Oryctolagus cuniculus: one gene and its partner. The protein of the gene in region 2 interacts with the protein of the main gene of each other region in a biochemical or structural test. Links are inferred from orthologs where the notes say so. Each region holds a gene or a part of one and is shown on either strand. Other genes may lie near its edges.

Region 1 (8,007 bases), on a different chromosome or scaffold from region 2:
ATTTACTTTGTACCATGACTTCATGATAGAAGAATGAATGATCTCCCTGTTGCACATGAGAACACCTGGCCTCAGCAACTCAAAAGCTCTTGTCCTTTGTTATCCGCAATCCTGTCTGAGCAGGGCTGTGAAGAATGAGTAGGATTTTAATAGATGGTGAAGACAGGCGAGATGGGCTCACTGTTTGACTTAGGAAAGTGCAAGGCCTGCCCGGACAAGGTTTTCTATGTGTTGTACCCTAGGTAGAAAAGCTGGACGGTTGGCTGGATCCAAAATTGATAAGAGCTAGAATTTAACTTACTGAGGAGTAGAGACCCAAACTGAAGTAAACACATCAAGACATTAGGAAAATGCACTTAGCACCTATTTTCAGGTGGTGGCCTGTACAGACAGGAAGGTGTCAGGAAGATGTTTCAGTACACAGAGTGGTTGCCATGCAGTAAGAGGGAAGAAGTGATCAGAAGGAAGCAATCTTAAAATGTAGCCGACTTGATGGCAGGGATCTGAGAGATGAGAGTGTCAAAGCTGACTAGTTTCACTACCTGAATTGCTTTGATAATCTGGATAAAAGATCCAATCCAGAAAGGGAGGCAGAAAAATCAAAAAGAGGTATGAAAACCTTTTTAAAAATTAATGTGATATGGAAACAAGCTTTTTGCGCTCAAGTACAATTAAAACATGTCCTTCATGTTAATTAAGCAGTAGTTGACAGCTTAGGTGGAAGGTGGGAGCAATGTCGATGGCAGTGTAACTCCCTCCAGTGTGAGCCCTACCATTTCTAGATTGAAGTTCCTCTTTTACTTCTCTCTTCCCCCTCCTCTGCACCCACTTTGGGTGTAGTCTAGTCTCTGGATACTGTTTTAGTCATCCTTGTACCTCAGCACTTAACATGAATGTTCCATGTTTGTTAAACTGACTTGTCCCAGCTCTTGGGGAGTTCCCAGTCCCATAAAGTGTGTGTGGAACACAGGGTGAGAATAGGACAAGGTAGTGAGAGGTATCATACTCAAAAGTATAGATTTTGGACTTTATCTTTATTGAGATCAATATTAGTTAAGTGAGTTAGAGTGAGCACACTGCAGGGTGGAATCTAGGCTAGGGAAAATGGCCAGGGAGACCAGTGGCAACCTGACTGTGGCAGTGGAAGAGCAAGACTCTTGAAAAATCAGGATGTGAGAGATGAGTCAAAAGGTAACTCCAGGTAAGTGAATGTGAGATGAGATTAATTGTGGACATAGTGAGTGTGAAGTTATCTTTGGCAAATCCAAAGGTAGATGTCAAGAAACTAGTTGGACATGGAGGGATGGTGAGCTATGGCTTAAGAAATGAGACTCGTCAGTGTGGAGGTATTAGAAGCCACCGGACTGAATGAGATCACCCAGAAATTGAGACCAGAGACAGAACCACGAGGAACATAAACATCTAAGGCACAAATAGAAATCTTCCAAAGAAGCAGCACCCAGAAATGGGGAAGCAGACACAATAGAAATAAAATCAGGGAGAGAACCAAGAAAAAATCACTTCCACAGTTAGTGGTTGAGTTGTCAAATACCTCAGAGGCTGAGGCTTATGAAGTGGTCAGTGGCTCTGACTGAAGTTTTCTTAACCCTGAGTGAGGTCAGCGAAAAGAATGAGCCTAGGAAGGGTGGAGGAGAGGCCAGGGCCATCTTCCAGAGAGCCTTAGGCAAGCCTCCAGGCCTCTCTGATGCCCTCAGTGTGACCTACAAGAGACTGGACCATCGCTGAGAGGCACAAACCCCAGTGGTTCCAACTTTGGTTCTCTGATGCTTGGTGGTTTGAATTCAAAAACTAACTTCCCACTTGAGAGCCTGGGAAAGTCAACCTCCTGTGGGCCTGTTTTCCCACCATAAGAAAAAAAAATACAAAACTATCATAAAACTTTTTTTAAAAAAAGATTTATTTATTTGAAAGGGAGAGTTACAGAAAGGGAGAGATATCTTCCATCCGCGGATAGCTCTGGTTAGGTCAAGCCAAAGCCGGGAGCTTGGCTCCTCCCACGTGGGTGGCAGGGGCCCAAGCACCTGGGCCATCTTTGGCCGCCCTCCGGGGCACATGAGCAGGGAAGTGGCTCAGAAGTGGAGCAGCCCCAAACTTTTTTTTTTTTAAGTGTTGGTTACCACCGCCAGGCACAGACGCAACGCTCCTTAACGTGACCTAGAATTGCCGCCGCCCTGAGTCCCCGGGCGGGTGACTTGACCGCCTCAGACAGCCGGCTGGGTGTGAGGCTGACGAGGCTGGGGGGATGGACACTAGAAGCTGAAGGTGGCCGGGACAGCCTCTAATTAGGTCCGAGGGCGGGTCTCGCTTGAGGCGTCCCAATTTCTCCTCAGGGCGCAGCTGGCGGCGGGAAAGCCGCTCAGGTCGCCGAGGCCTGGATATTTCTCTTGGCCGAGAGCCCGCAGCCCGTCTCGAGGGGTTGCATTTCTGTCTCGATGAGCTCCCGGCTCTCTCTGTTTCCTCTTTGGCTCCCACTGACGGGCAGGACGCGGAAAACTCCACTTGGCGTTGCCTGGCTACCCAGCCTTCCCGCGCTCGCCTTGGCGCCTACTGCGGCTGCGCGAGCCGTCAGGGCGGGCCCCAGGGGCTCCTCCACGTGCGTGCGCCCTCTGCCGGCGACCAACGATCTTTCAAGTGCGCGTGCGCCTATCCACCAGGCCCCGCCCCTGGGCTGCCGGCGCGCGAAGCCGTTGGCCCCGCTCCCGACTCGCCCCTTCCCCTCAGAGGGCGGGGCGGGGCCTCCCCAGAGCCCGAGGCGGGGGGGGGAGGCGGGGACATGGGATGCCACACCCCCGCCCCGGTCCCTGTTTGAAGCCCCTCTACTCTTCATCGCTGGCCAATCCCAGCCCGCCCTGTCCCGAGCGCCGACCAATGGGAGGCGCGCTCGAGCTGCTTCCGGCTCCGCGCTCCGCTCGCCCCTTCCTCAGGTCTCCCCGCGACGGGCGGGGCTCGGGGGCGGGCGTCGGCCGCGGTGACGCGCGGCGGGCCGGGAGCCAATGAGGGGCGGGCTCGGAGCTGATGGACGGGTCCAGCGGCCAGTGGCGAGGCGCTGGCCGCACTTCCCGTCGAGGAGAGAGTGTAATATGGCGAAGACCTACGATTACCTGTTCAAGCTGCTGCTGATCGGGGACTCGGGGGTGGGGAAGACCTGTGTCCTGTTCCGCTTCTCCGAGGACGCCTTCAACTCCACTTTCATCTCCACCATAGGTAGCGGGGCTGGGGAGCGGCCGGGGGCGCCGGAGGCCCGGGCCGGGCGCGCCCCTGAGGGGCTGGGGCTGAGGCATCGACCCTGGCCGAGGGGCAGCGGGCTCTCAGGGGGTCTGAAGGGAGCCGAGCAGCTGGCTCCGCCGCGCTTCGCGGGTTCCCGGGCCGTGGTGGTGCTGGGGACCAGTGCCTGTTTGGCGAGTGGGTAGACTGAGGCTCCCGCCTCTCAGCCCGCTCCGTCGGGAGTGTCGGTCCGGGGCTGGGGTTTTGGCGCCCATCCTCTCGTGCCGTCCTCGCAGCCCCTTGCCAAGCCAAGTTCATCTGTGGGCGTTGTGGGAGGGGTCGGTCGTACAGAAGTGGATGCTGGGGCACTTGCGCTCTGCCAGCTGCGTGATCGCGCCCTCCTGGGGCTGCAAGTTAAGGTGTTTGTCACGAACCCATTTCGCGGATGCGGGATTTGAGGCTCAGGGTGGCCGGGGGACTTGTCCAAGGTCACACAACCTGCAGAATAAATGGCACGGATGAGACTTGAACCTCGATGCGTCTTGACAGCCCAGAGGAGCCACTTGGGAGCAACACTCCGACCCCCACCTCTCTCTCCTGCTTTTTCCCCTGGGACTGGACTTTAAGGACTGAGCCTCCTCCCTGGCCCTGGAATCGTGAGGGAGAGTGAGGAGCATTTACCCTGCCCCGCCCTCTATCCCACTCAAGGGTGACAGCCCCAGTGAGTGACAGCTGCCCGCCCAGGGACCTGTCATCCCCTCCCCCAAGGAGATGCAAGATACAAGGCTCCGTGAGAAGCCACAGACAGCACCCCACTCCCTATCACAGGGCCCAGGACTCCGTGGTTGTCCCACTGAGGGAACAGCGCTTCCGGCTGGGCCACCCCACGTGGCGGCTGAGCGGAATCCACTTGTCTTTTTCTGTCGGCCCTGCTGACTTCTCATCACCGTGCCACAAAAGCCAGCCCCTGCCCACGATGACAAGGCTGGACCCGGGAGGCACAGCCGTCCCACAGTGGCCTGCGAGCTAGGTAGCCCTGTTCAGGAAGCAGAGGGGACAGTCACCCAGTCCAGGGGTTGACCCCAGACTGAGGAAACTTAGGGAATGGCTTCCCCCCACCCCACCCCACCCCACCACTGCCACCACCACCATGTCACTTGAGCCACATCTCATTATCACCCGGAACTCCACCATGCTGGAGGTCACCATGCCTGCTTTCCTGTTGCTCTTTGCCCTGGAACAAGCACTACCCCTCTCTGAGCCCCGTGTCTTCAGATTAGAACTCCATACAATGAATGAACGGCCGCCCGTGGCCCAGAGCGACAATCTGGGGGAGACCGATTGGTTCCTGGAGTCGCCTCGCGTGGCGGGAGGTGGCACGGGAGCCAGGGTCCTGTCCTGTCCTGCCACACCAGTCTTCTTCCTGTTACATTTGAAGCCGCCTTAACGGGGCTCTGGCTTCTAGGCTTTGCTCAACCATGACCTTGGAGTTAACGGGCCTCGTAAAGTGTGCGCTTGCTAATTGAACCTCGCGTGTTCCTAGAACCCAGGAGGAGTGCAGGACAGAGGGCTGCTCTAGGGCTCAGGCGACTGAGCAGTGCATCTTGAGTTTGTGCAGCCCAGTGACAGGAGGTGCAAAGGATCCGCGCCCGACTGCTTTATCCCTGAGACAGAACTCAGGCACAGAGCCCTTGGATATTGGTATCGAGTGCCCCTCTGGGTTTTCTTAATAGATCGGGGATTGAATGGCTGTTCATTTGCTTCCCTGGGGTTACGTCTTGCCAAGGCCCATTCTTAGGAGCTCCATCCATCATCTGTGGTGTGAACTTGGCCCTGCGGCTCCCTGCGATCCATTCTCTACCAGCCTGGCTCCGTCCCCGCCATCTCCTCGGGGACCCCGCTCCGTGCCTTCTGCGAGACGGATGATGTTTGTGCAAGTGCCTCCCTCACCACGCGCGGCCACCTACACCCTGTGGCTCTGTGGCATGCCAGCCGCCTTCCACGGACATCTGGGCATCAGCACTGGAGCCAGGGCTTCAGAGCCGGCTCGGGTGCATCAGGAGGGGAGGTAGCGACGGCACGAGGCTGGGCGTTTTGTCCCTGTGACAGCAGCAAGGAAGCTGCGTGCAGCCCATTGCCTTGGCAAAGTTGCTAATGGGCAGAGTTCGAGTGCACGCTTGGGTTTGCAGCCACGAACCTGGAGCTCCATCCGGGTCTCCCATGTGGGTGGCAGGGGCCCCAGGCACTTGAGCCGTCTTTGGCTGCTGCCTTCCCAGGCGCATCCACAGGGTGTTTGGATCGGAAGCGCGCAGTAGCTGGGCCTTGAACCGGCGCTCATCCGGGATGCCGGCACCAGCCCCTTTGTAACAGCTTCAGTGAGATAATGGGGTACCGTACGGTGTCACCCACCAACCAGGTACAATTCAGGGGTGCTTTTCTGCACTCACCACAATCCGTTTTGCATTTTGGTCATGCTGGAAGAAACCCCCACCCTCCTCCGCCAATCCCCAGTCTCCCACTCTCCCCAGCCCCCGGCAACCCCGAACACACGCCCGGTGTCTGTGGGCTTGCTGTTGTGGACATTTCTGTCACAAGGTAGAAGAGGTGTGGCCTGGTGCGTGCAGTTTCTCTCGCTCAGCATCATGGCTTCCAGGGTGCATCCCTGCTGCAGCGAGTGTGGGCACTTTGTTCCTTTTTGTGGCTGGGCAGTATTCCACTTTGGGTTGGTCCAGTCACCGGCCGGTGGACCCACAGAAAGGTCTGGAGCAGAGGTTTGCTTGGTGACCTGGTTAGGAGAGCACTGGGGTGCCGGCTCTGAGGGCCCCGCAAAGGCACCCTTGGCAAAGGAGAATGAAGCAGGAGGTGGGGAAGGAGGAGGAGGTAAGGTCAGGACAGTGTCTTGGGAAGTGACCCCGGGGGAGGAGAAATTAGCACAGCTGATGGGCAGAGAGGGACTGGCATGTGCAAAGGCCCTGGGGCAAGAAAGGACATGGCCTGGGTGCCTCGGGGTGTGTGATGGAGCACCGTGCAGGGCCGTGTGGGACAGGGAGACAGGCACGGCTGGCGGCATTGGCAAGGGAGGAGACCAAAGACGTTGGCAGCCTGAGCTCCTGGGTGTGCCCACCATCTGTCACTCTGGGCAGCTCCCGTCGGCTCTGAGAGCCTCAGGCGCCCCGTTCTGTGAAAGGGGAGAGTCTCCAGATGCTTCCAGACTTGCTGGGGAGGAGGCAGAGGGCACACATCCCCAACAGCAGGCAGGTGAACCCCCAAGCGGAGGCAGGTGACCGTTCCCCCAGAAACATAGGTTGGCTGACCCCGCCCCCAGACAGCACCCGGGACAATGGGCTGACCGTGATGGGTCTTCTTTTATTCTTTTCTATTTCAGGAATCGACTTTAAAATTAGGACCATAGAACTCGATGGCAAAAGAATTAAACTACAGATATGGTAAGTGGTGCCCTGGGGCAGCCTCTGAACCCGGCGAGCGCTTGGAGCCAGGAGCCCTTGGTGCCTGCCCCTCCCCACCCCCACACCCCGTGACCTTGGCCTTCATCTCTTGGTGCCCAGGGCTGCCTTCAGGCTGTCTTCAAAAACTCTCAAGTGCTCTCCCCATCAGGGACCTGTGCGCTGCTGCTGTGGCCCGGGGGACTGTGTCCACACCTGTTGGGGACATCACCCCAGGCCCGCTTAGCTCAACCTTCTGTGTTGTTTTTTGTTTTTTTGTGTTTTTTTTTTGAGATTAATTTGAGAGACAAGAGACAGACAGAACTCCCGTCTGTGGGTTCACTCCCCAGATGCCAGAGCTGAAGCTGGGAGCCAGGAACTCCATCCAAGGTCTCCCACATGGGTGGCAGGGACCCAGGCCATCATCTGCTACCTCACAGGGGCCCTGCATGAGCAGGGAGCTGGAGTCAGGAGCCAGAGCTGGGATTCCAAGCCAGGCCCAGCACTCTGATGCGGACAAAGTCCAGGTCTGTGCCCGGGTGCGGAGCCGCCCTGACTGCACCTTTCCTTTGGAGTCCATCAGCTCATACTAGAGTGTAAAGGTCTACTAGCACTTCCTCTTTTTTCTCCTGGGGAAGCCCAAGCCTCGTTTCCTGGCATGCAGACCTGAAACCCAGTCCCCCAACACACACACACACTCACTCACACACACACACACACACACATACCCTGAACTGAAATTCAGCTGAGGCCAAGCCCAGTTGGGGAGACCCACTTCCACCCCTCAGAGCTGAGGGTGACTTCCCTGCCCCATAGAATTAGGGAAGTCGTGAGTGGCCAAGTCCCCAGCACGGGCGCCGACCCTGGTCTGCAGCCCGTTGTACTAGGGAGACCAAATTCAGAGTGTGCTGTGCCATGGGTAGGACTCTGTGCTGAACAGCGGGTCCCATGTCAAGAGTACCCAGGTTCAGTTCCCGGCTCGGGTTCCTGCCCCGAGTTTCCTGTTATTGCAGACTCTGGGAGGCAACGGTGACAGCTTTGCTCACTGCGTTTCTGCTACCTACATAGGGACCTGAATTGAGTCTGTGGCTCCCAGCTTCAGCCCCGACCGCTGAGGGGCATTTGATGGGTGAATCAGTGGATGAGAGTGCTGGCTTGTTACAGGCTTGTTTATTTATTTGAAAGGCAGAGTTACAGAGAGAGAGAGAGAGAGTCTTCCATCTACTGGCTCACTCCCTTAAATGGCTGCAATGGTCAGGACTGGAGTAGCCCGAAGCCAGGAGTTCCATCCGAGTCTCCCACACAGGTGCAGGGGCCCAAGGACTTGGGCCATCTTCCA
Region 2 (7,237 bases):
GGCACTTGGTGTGTTAAGCGTGAATGCTCTCTTCCGCATAAGCCGGGCAAAGTGTGAAGCCTTGGTTTGCATTGAAAAGTCTTTAATATGTGTGTCAAGCTTTGCCTCCTAACCTTTCATAGCCTGAGTGTTTCCTAACGTCCTAACTTGCATCTCTTTTCCAAGTTAACCCTCTGGGTGTATCCTAATCTGTGCCTGTTTTCCAAGCTAACTTTCTTGCTGAGGAAGTGGGAAGTAAAGCAGTTCATGAAACTCCATTGCTGTGTTCCTCGTTACACGGGCGAGAGAAATTTACTCTGGAGATGGCATCTCAGGTGAGAGTGCAGCAGTGCGGCATGACCGTGCCTGGCATCTGAGTGCAGGCCTGCACTGAATCCTGGTTCTGGCCCTTGTCCGCTAGGTGAGTCACCTAACTCATGAAGTAGCTTAGGAAAGTCACCCAAAGCTCTAGGAGCCTCAGCTTCTTGTTTAAAGATGGACAAACAATAAAACAATAATGTGCCTCTTTTTCAGGATTATATACAAAGTACCAGTCAGAGCCTGGCACATAGGGAGCGTTCAACAATCCTGGTTAAGTTGAAATTGCTAAAACAGGACTCAGCAACTTCTTGATCATCAGAACTATGCAATGACAAAGTTCCTCTTTAAAATTGTTTTATATTAGCATCTTAAATGTTTAAGATAATCCATGATGCATAGAATATTTTTGGAAAGTTATGAAAGAAATTAGTATTGATGGCTGCCTCTAGGGAGGGAGACTGAAACAGAAGGGGGCTTTCGGCTGCTTTATATGCCCCTTTTGAACGTTTGAACTTTTTGCAATGTTAAGAAAATTAAGCATTAGAGGACATACATGCATGTGGTTCAGAACTAAACCAATAGAAAGTGTTTTTTAAAAGAGGAAGTAGATTTCATTCCCCAGAAATAACCATTGTAAACAGCTGGTTGGATATCATTCTAGAAATCTTGTATCAAGCAGCACAGATATACATCTACACATTATACACACACACACACACACACACAAACACACTTTTGCACAAATGGGCTCACGTGAACCTCGTTGTTTCTCTTGATTATGGTAATTTTACAATTTATCATGGGCATCCTTAGGCCACTGCTTACAGATCTATCATTTTCTTTTCTCATAGCCTTCTGCCATGTCCCTGGATGCTAACTTACTTACCACTCCATCACTAATGGGCATTTAATTGTTCACATGTTTACTTTCTCTTAAAACCATGCTCTAGTATATCTTGGGCTTCTATAACTGTCAGAGGGATTCCTGGTGGTGGAATTGCTGAGTCAAAAGAAACGCATAACTCATAATTTGATAGCTGTTGCCCTCCAAAAATAATGACAATGGCAAATTTGTCCCCTTTAAATACTAATAAGAGCAGGAAAGCAATTATTAGAACCTAGAATTTTTCAAGCATCTGACATAGAAGTCATCCTCTTGGGTCTACTCGTGATATGATTGTACTGGACATGTCACAAGCTACTGCCAATTAAAATGTCTTACATAAAGAGAAGCATCTGCATTAAAATGGGGTATTTATTCTTTGCAAAGAATTTTAAGCCAGAATTGAAATGTGTTGCTGAAACAAATATGCCAGTGTCTAACTAATGCTAAACTCCATTTTTTTTAAAAATCTACTGAAGTTCATAACCTAGAAATTAATAAATTGCATGGACTTTCATAAATGACAAAATTCTACTCTCATATTAAATATTTTATCTGAAAGCATTCTACATTTGTTCTTTCTGGTTTTTCTTACTTGTCTCTAGAAATCCATTTGCTCCCTTTGGTTTTCACTTAGTAGCATCCACCTCTTGCTTCTTCTGCGTCTGTCCCCTGTACTAAACTTTGTGTTGTCTGGGGATGTGCTACCTGACCCAGACCTATGGGGATTATGCCTGTCTAATGTCAGTGTGTTCAGAGTAAGGACCAAGGTTACAGGACCCTAGTGAACACAGGCATGTAAACGGGCACCTCTAGTCTACCCCAGCCCAAGCTCTGGATACCAAATCATAAAGAACAGAGTCAAACCAGAAAGACCCAATAGAGTGAAGCAATTCTACCACTCAAAGCAAAAGATGGTGGGCCACGCACTGCTCATCCCAGATACCGATTCAACTACTCTTATGCTCATTATGTTAATATCTGTGGAGTGTCTACTGTGTGCTCATATTTTGCTACGTGTTCAACGTACTAGGATGAACAAAAATAGACTTGATTCTTATCCTCCTGGCACTTAGATTCTGGTGGTAGAGACAGACACTACTCAAACATAATGTGAGTAACTGTAAAATTGAGAATTGTGCCATATTCAAATCCTTGTAAGAGTTCCATCTAGCCCTCAAATCTTTGCAAGCCGTTTCAACAAACATACTTTCTATCTTTAGAAACAACACTAGTGATATGTGCCATTCTCATTTTAAAAGACACTGTAGCTGCCGTTATTACAGAGGAAGAAGGGAAAGCCCTTTAATCCCTAGTCTTTTCTCCTCCCTAGTGGAAACAAGTGTTAACTTTGCATCCTTCTAGGGTTTTCTACGCAGTGTAATACTCTGGCTAAAAGCATGTACTCTGCCTGCATTTGAATCCTGTATCTTCCAGTTACTAATTGTGTGATCTTGGGAAAGTTACTTAATGTCTCTGTTCCTCTGTTTCATAGCTTGTAAGACAGGGATAATAATACCTGTCTCATAAGGAGTATCTTGAGGATTAAACAAAACAATGTATTTAATGTACTTAAAACAATACTTGGCACATAGTAAGTGCTGCATAGAAGTGGTCATGATACCACTTACTATTTACATATATATATATTCACATAGACAAATATGAATATATTTTAACGTGAGATATTTTCTCTGCACATTGCTTTGTTGGCTTAACAGAATGTCTTAGACATCTTTCCATGTCAGCATGGACAGATTCCCTGCATTCTCATTGATGACTGCCTGCCACATGCCATAGGAAGATATTGAAATCACTTCCTATATTGATTGATATTTAGGCTGTTTCCACTTTCTGGCTATTACTAACAACCCTGGCAGCAAGATTCTTTGTCATGGTGTCAATCCTTTGTGAGTTGTGTGGCAAGCTTGCTGGAAGACCTTTGAGTGTTTGCAGTCTACTAACTGTGTCCCCACGGTGCCATAGTAGTGGGGATTGCGGAAGGCTCTTGGTTGTTGCCACTACTAGGCTCCTCCTGGAGACTGCCTTGAAAACCTGTGGCAGCCATGGCCTGAGGACCCTGGGTTGTATTCATAAGGAGCTAGGAGCCTCTTTTGCTGAGAAGCTGTTCTTGGGGGATACTGTTTAGGACGCCCTCAGGGAATGATCCCAACTGCCTGAGCAGCCTGGCTTGACGTGATGGGTTTCCCTGTGTTTCAGGTCAGTGCTGAGTCCCTGACTGGCTTGCCATCACACAAAGGCGAGTTGGTGGTTTCATTGAAATACATCCCAGCCTCCAAACTCCCTGTTGGAGGTGACCGGAAAAAGAGTGAGTTTTCTCTGGGGCCCTGGCTTTAGCCCTTAGTCTTCTGCACAGGATCTGTGCGAGGCTGCTGCTGGCTCTGGGTTGCACAGGTAGAGAGCCCAGATTGGGATGCTCCCTGGGTCAGGGAAGACTCTGTTACTAAGGAAGCCTTTTCTGTACTTTTCAATCAAAAGGGAGCACCTTAGGGTTGACATTCCTTTTTTCTAAATACTATTAACCTGACATGGTCTCAGTCCATCTATGGCAGGCTATGATGAGGACAGAAGAGAACAGAAACATTGGGGCTGCGAAGGGCAGTTAGCAGGAGTGGTCAAATCAAGTTTGAGGAGTAGGAAACCGAAGGCTGAGGGAGAATAATTCAGCATGCCAGGCACTGTGCTAGTGACTATGGATATGTAGGTGATGCACGGGAGGAAGATGTGATATTTGACCTCCTTTGAGGAATGAATTAAACCAAAACAGTCATGTGCTAAAGGGACACAGGTCCAGGAGTCATGAATTCTGTCTGGTTACATTTGGGAGCGCTAGGAGAAGGTAATGTTGAAACTGGACACTAGGACTTTAATAGGCAAAAAGGAAGAGGATGTGGAGAGAGGAGTATTTCCAGAAGACAGGATTGCACATGCCAAGGTTTTAACAGGCATGGGAAATGTGAGGTTATATGTGAGGGTGGGGGAGTGACCCCTTATTTCAGTGGACTGCAGTGTTGGTACACATGTGTGGCAGGGGGCTGGAATAGGGGCTTAACTGAATAGAGCCTGGCCACAGTGGTAAGGAGTTTAGCTTGATCCATCAGCCGTGGGAAGGCAAAGTTCTTCCAAAACAGATCTTCAGCCAGGTCTAATCGAGAAGATTTGGGGCATCAGTGAAATCCCCAAGGAGGGTGTGTTGAATATTTAGAGAAGTGATAGAACCATGGGGAAAAGCAACAGTGAAGGATAAAGAGGGAAAGAAGTGGCAGTGAAAGAGAGGGACACCAGGCGAGAGAAATGCCAGGAGAGCTTCGGAAAAAAGGCAAAGGAGGGCATGGGCCAGGCCAGCTGAGGACTGAGCAGACTCGCCTCACTGGCATTGCACTGTATTTTCAGTGCATTAGTTGAGGCAGCAACCAGATTTCACTAGAAACTAGACTGAGTGAACCAGGCAAAGCAGTAGAGCCAGTGAGTGTGGATTTCTTTTTCAGGGTAGTTGATGGTGAACGAAAGGAGACAGACACATCAAGAATAACCTGAAGGAGAGAGAAGCTTGAAGGGAGATATTCTTTTCAAAGGATGTTTTCTTTCTTCCTTCCTTCCTTCCTTCCTTCCTTCCTTCCTTCCTTCCTTCCTTTCTTTCTTTCTTTCTTTTTGAAAGAACCAGTGAGATTAGCACATATGTAGACTGAGAAACAAATCTTACAAATGGGAGGTGAGGGTCGAAGTTGGTGCTACCTGATGAGTCCTGTGAAGTGAGGACTGGAGCAAGAACTCAAGTGGAGGAGTTCCCTTTTTAATCATTCAACAAGTATCAGGAACTTTATTTCTCTAAGCCTCAGTTTCTTCATCTATCAAATGAGGACAAAAATAGTGTATATCTCGGAGGGTTGTTTTGAGAATGAAATGCTTAAGGTAGTCTCTGGCGCATAGCCCATTCCCATTTGCAGTTACTATTTATTGCTGTTGTAGTGGGATTAACTGAGCACCTATGGCTTACAGTCAGGTACTGGGCTAGGTACTGAGGATACAGGTGAAGTCTGCCTCAGGTTGTTACAGAGCAAGAGAAGGGAGTGCTGCATAGCTAGAGCTTAGGACAAATCCAGAGTGTAGCAGCTCACTTGCTATGGCTGACGTCCCTTACAGGTAAAGGTGGGGAAGGGGGAGAGCTCCAGGTGTGGATCAAAGAAGCCAAGAACCTGACGGCTGCCAAATCAGGAGGGACTTCAGACAGCTTTGTCAAGGGGTGAGTCCCTGGACCAGTGCCAAACTAACTAACCAGTTCCAGGACGTGAGAGCCAAGGGAGGAACCCAATTTAACCCTTCCCTGTGGATGCTGTCCTTATGTGTCCTCCCAAGCTCCAGCTTTGTTTGCCTTGTTCCTGAAATTCCATAATGGTAACACCTCCACCACCACTTGTGTACTGGTCTGAGCCCAGGTTGGACTGGGCTGTAGCATTGCTATGCAAAGAGTAGGAAGGTACTCAGATATAGTCTGGCTGTTCTCCCACCCCTGCTCTGAAGTAGTCCTGGATGAAAACCCATGGCCCCTGACTGTGTGGATTTGGGAACTCGGGGCTTTGTTTCCTGTGATTTTTAAGCAATGCTTGCTATCCCCAGATTATAGATCACCCAAGGATGGACATTCGTTACCAACACTTGTTTGGCTGAGCCTACAGATGCTGCCGTTGGTTTTATTTAAAGAGAACCTTACCAAGTAGCAGTGGGACCACATATTTAAAACCTAGTTTTGGTGGAGCACAGATAGCAACTTCGCTAATATATTCATTTCCTCTCCAGGTAACAGGAATTGGATCAGGTGCATGATCTAGTGGAGGTAGTAGGACGTCTGCTTCAGCAGATTCAGAGGAGGGCTGTGTGTACTAGGTTCTGGGTGTTGATGTACCTTGCTGGGCCAGGCCTGTGGTCAAAAAAAGGGGACTTTAGACAGATGTTGCTGGCTTTGAGTAGGCTGCTGACTACTCCCCACCCTCTGCCAGATACCTCCTGCCCATGAGGACCAAGGCCAGTAAGCGTAAAACTCCCGTGGTGAAGAAGACCCTGAATCCCCACTACAACCATACATTTGTCTACAATGGTGTGAGGCTGGAAGATCTACAACACATGTGCCTGGAACTGACTGTGTGGGACCGGGAAGCCCTGGCCAGCAATGACTTCCTGGGAGGGGTCAGACTGGGTGTTGGCACTGGTGAGAGCCTCTCCCCCATCCTCACTTGTTTCAAAGGCCTCTTGCCTATTTCAATCCCAGTACCTCCCTTTCCCCCCTCCTCCCCCCCACCCTCGGTGCTCCTGCACACACAAAACTCCTCTATGACAACAGTTACCTTCTTTCTTTTCAGTTAACATCCAGCAAACACTTACTGAGTGCCTACTATGTGCCAGGCCGAGGGGAAGGCTGAACTTACACACTGTTATGTGTATAGATAAATGTGACCTTGATTGCAAGGAATGCCATACTCTTCCCACCTGTAACTCTACAAGCCTGCTTAGTATCTGTACCTGTAATTTCCACCTCATGTCTTGTTAAAATGGGACGAGTCTTTGCTAGTGAAGGCCAAGCTCTCTCCGAGTATCTGGACCACCCCACCACCCCAGCCCACTGACCTCACCTGTGTAATCTCCATCTGTCCTGGGTGATCCGTTTCATCCTCCTTCTCTGGAAGAGGTGAATACAGGTGTGCCCTAGTATTTCCACTCTTACTGAACAACCACCACCACAACAAAAAACTCCCTTCACTACCCTGCTGCCCTCTCTTCTTAAAACAAATGGCCTCTATTTTCTTCTCTCTCCTTTAGTTCTCAACCCATCGGGATCTGGCTTCTGTGCCACCACTCTGCAGAGCAGTTGGTCATGCCACAATATGATTTTCATCTTCCTGGAATTTGCAGCACTGTTGAACCCTGCACACCACTCCCCTTTTCTTGAAATACTTAGCTTCTAACGACATTATGCTTTTTGATTTCAAGTCACTACTTCACTCCTCAGTTTTCTCTATAGGTTCCTCATTCTCTATT

The links. The genes of interacting proteins can lie anywhere in the genome.
Region 1: the proteins of SYTL4 (region 2) and RAB8A form a complex in vitro, tested with the Homo sapiens proteins (2 studies listed by BioGRID). The link is inferred for Oryctolagus cuniculus from reciprocal best matches to the Homo sapiens genes SYTL4 and RAB8A.

The regions. Positions count from the first base shown.
Region 1 is NC_091447.1:64,694,865-64,702,871, forward strand, and holds the start of RAB8A (ras-related protein Rab-8A), read left to right. Parts: upstream 1-3,053; 5' UTR 3,054-3,101; coding exon 3,102-3,225; intron 3,226-6,610; coding exon 6,611-6,671; intron 6,672-8,007. UniProt on the Homo sapiens protein: The small GTPases Rab are key regulators of intracellular membrane trafficking, from the formation of transport vesicles to their fusion with membranes.
Region 2 is NC_091453.1:92,032,579-92,039,815, forward strand, and holds part of SYTL4 (synaptotagmin-like protein 4), read left to right. Parts: intron 1-3,403; coding exon 3,404-3,512; intron 3,513-5,347; coding exon 5,348-5,447; intron 5,448-6,201; coding exon 6,202-6,410; intron 6,411-7,237. UniProt on the Homo sapiens protein: Modulates exocytosis of dense-core granules and secretion of hormones in the pancreas and the pituitary. Interacts with vesicles containing negatively charged phospholipids in a Ca(2+)-independent manner.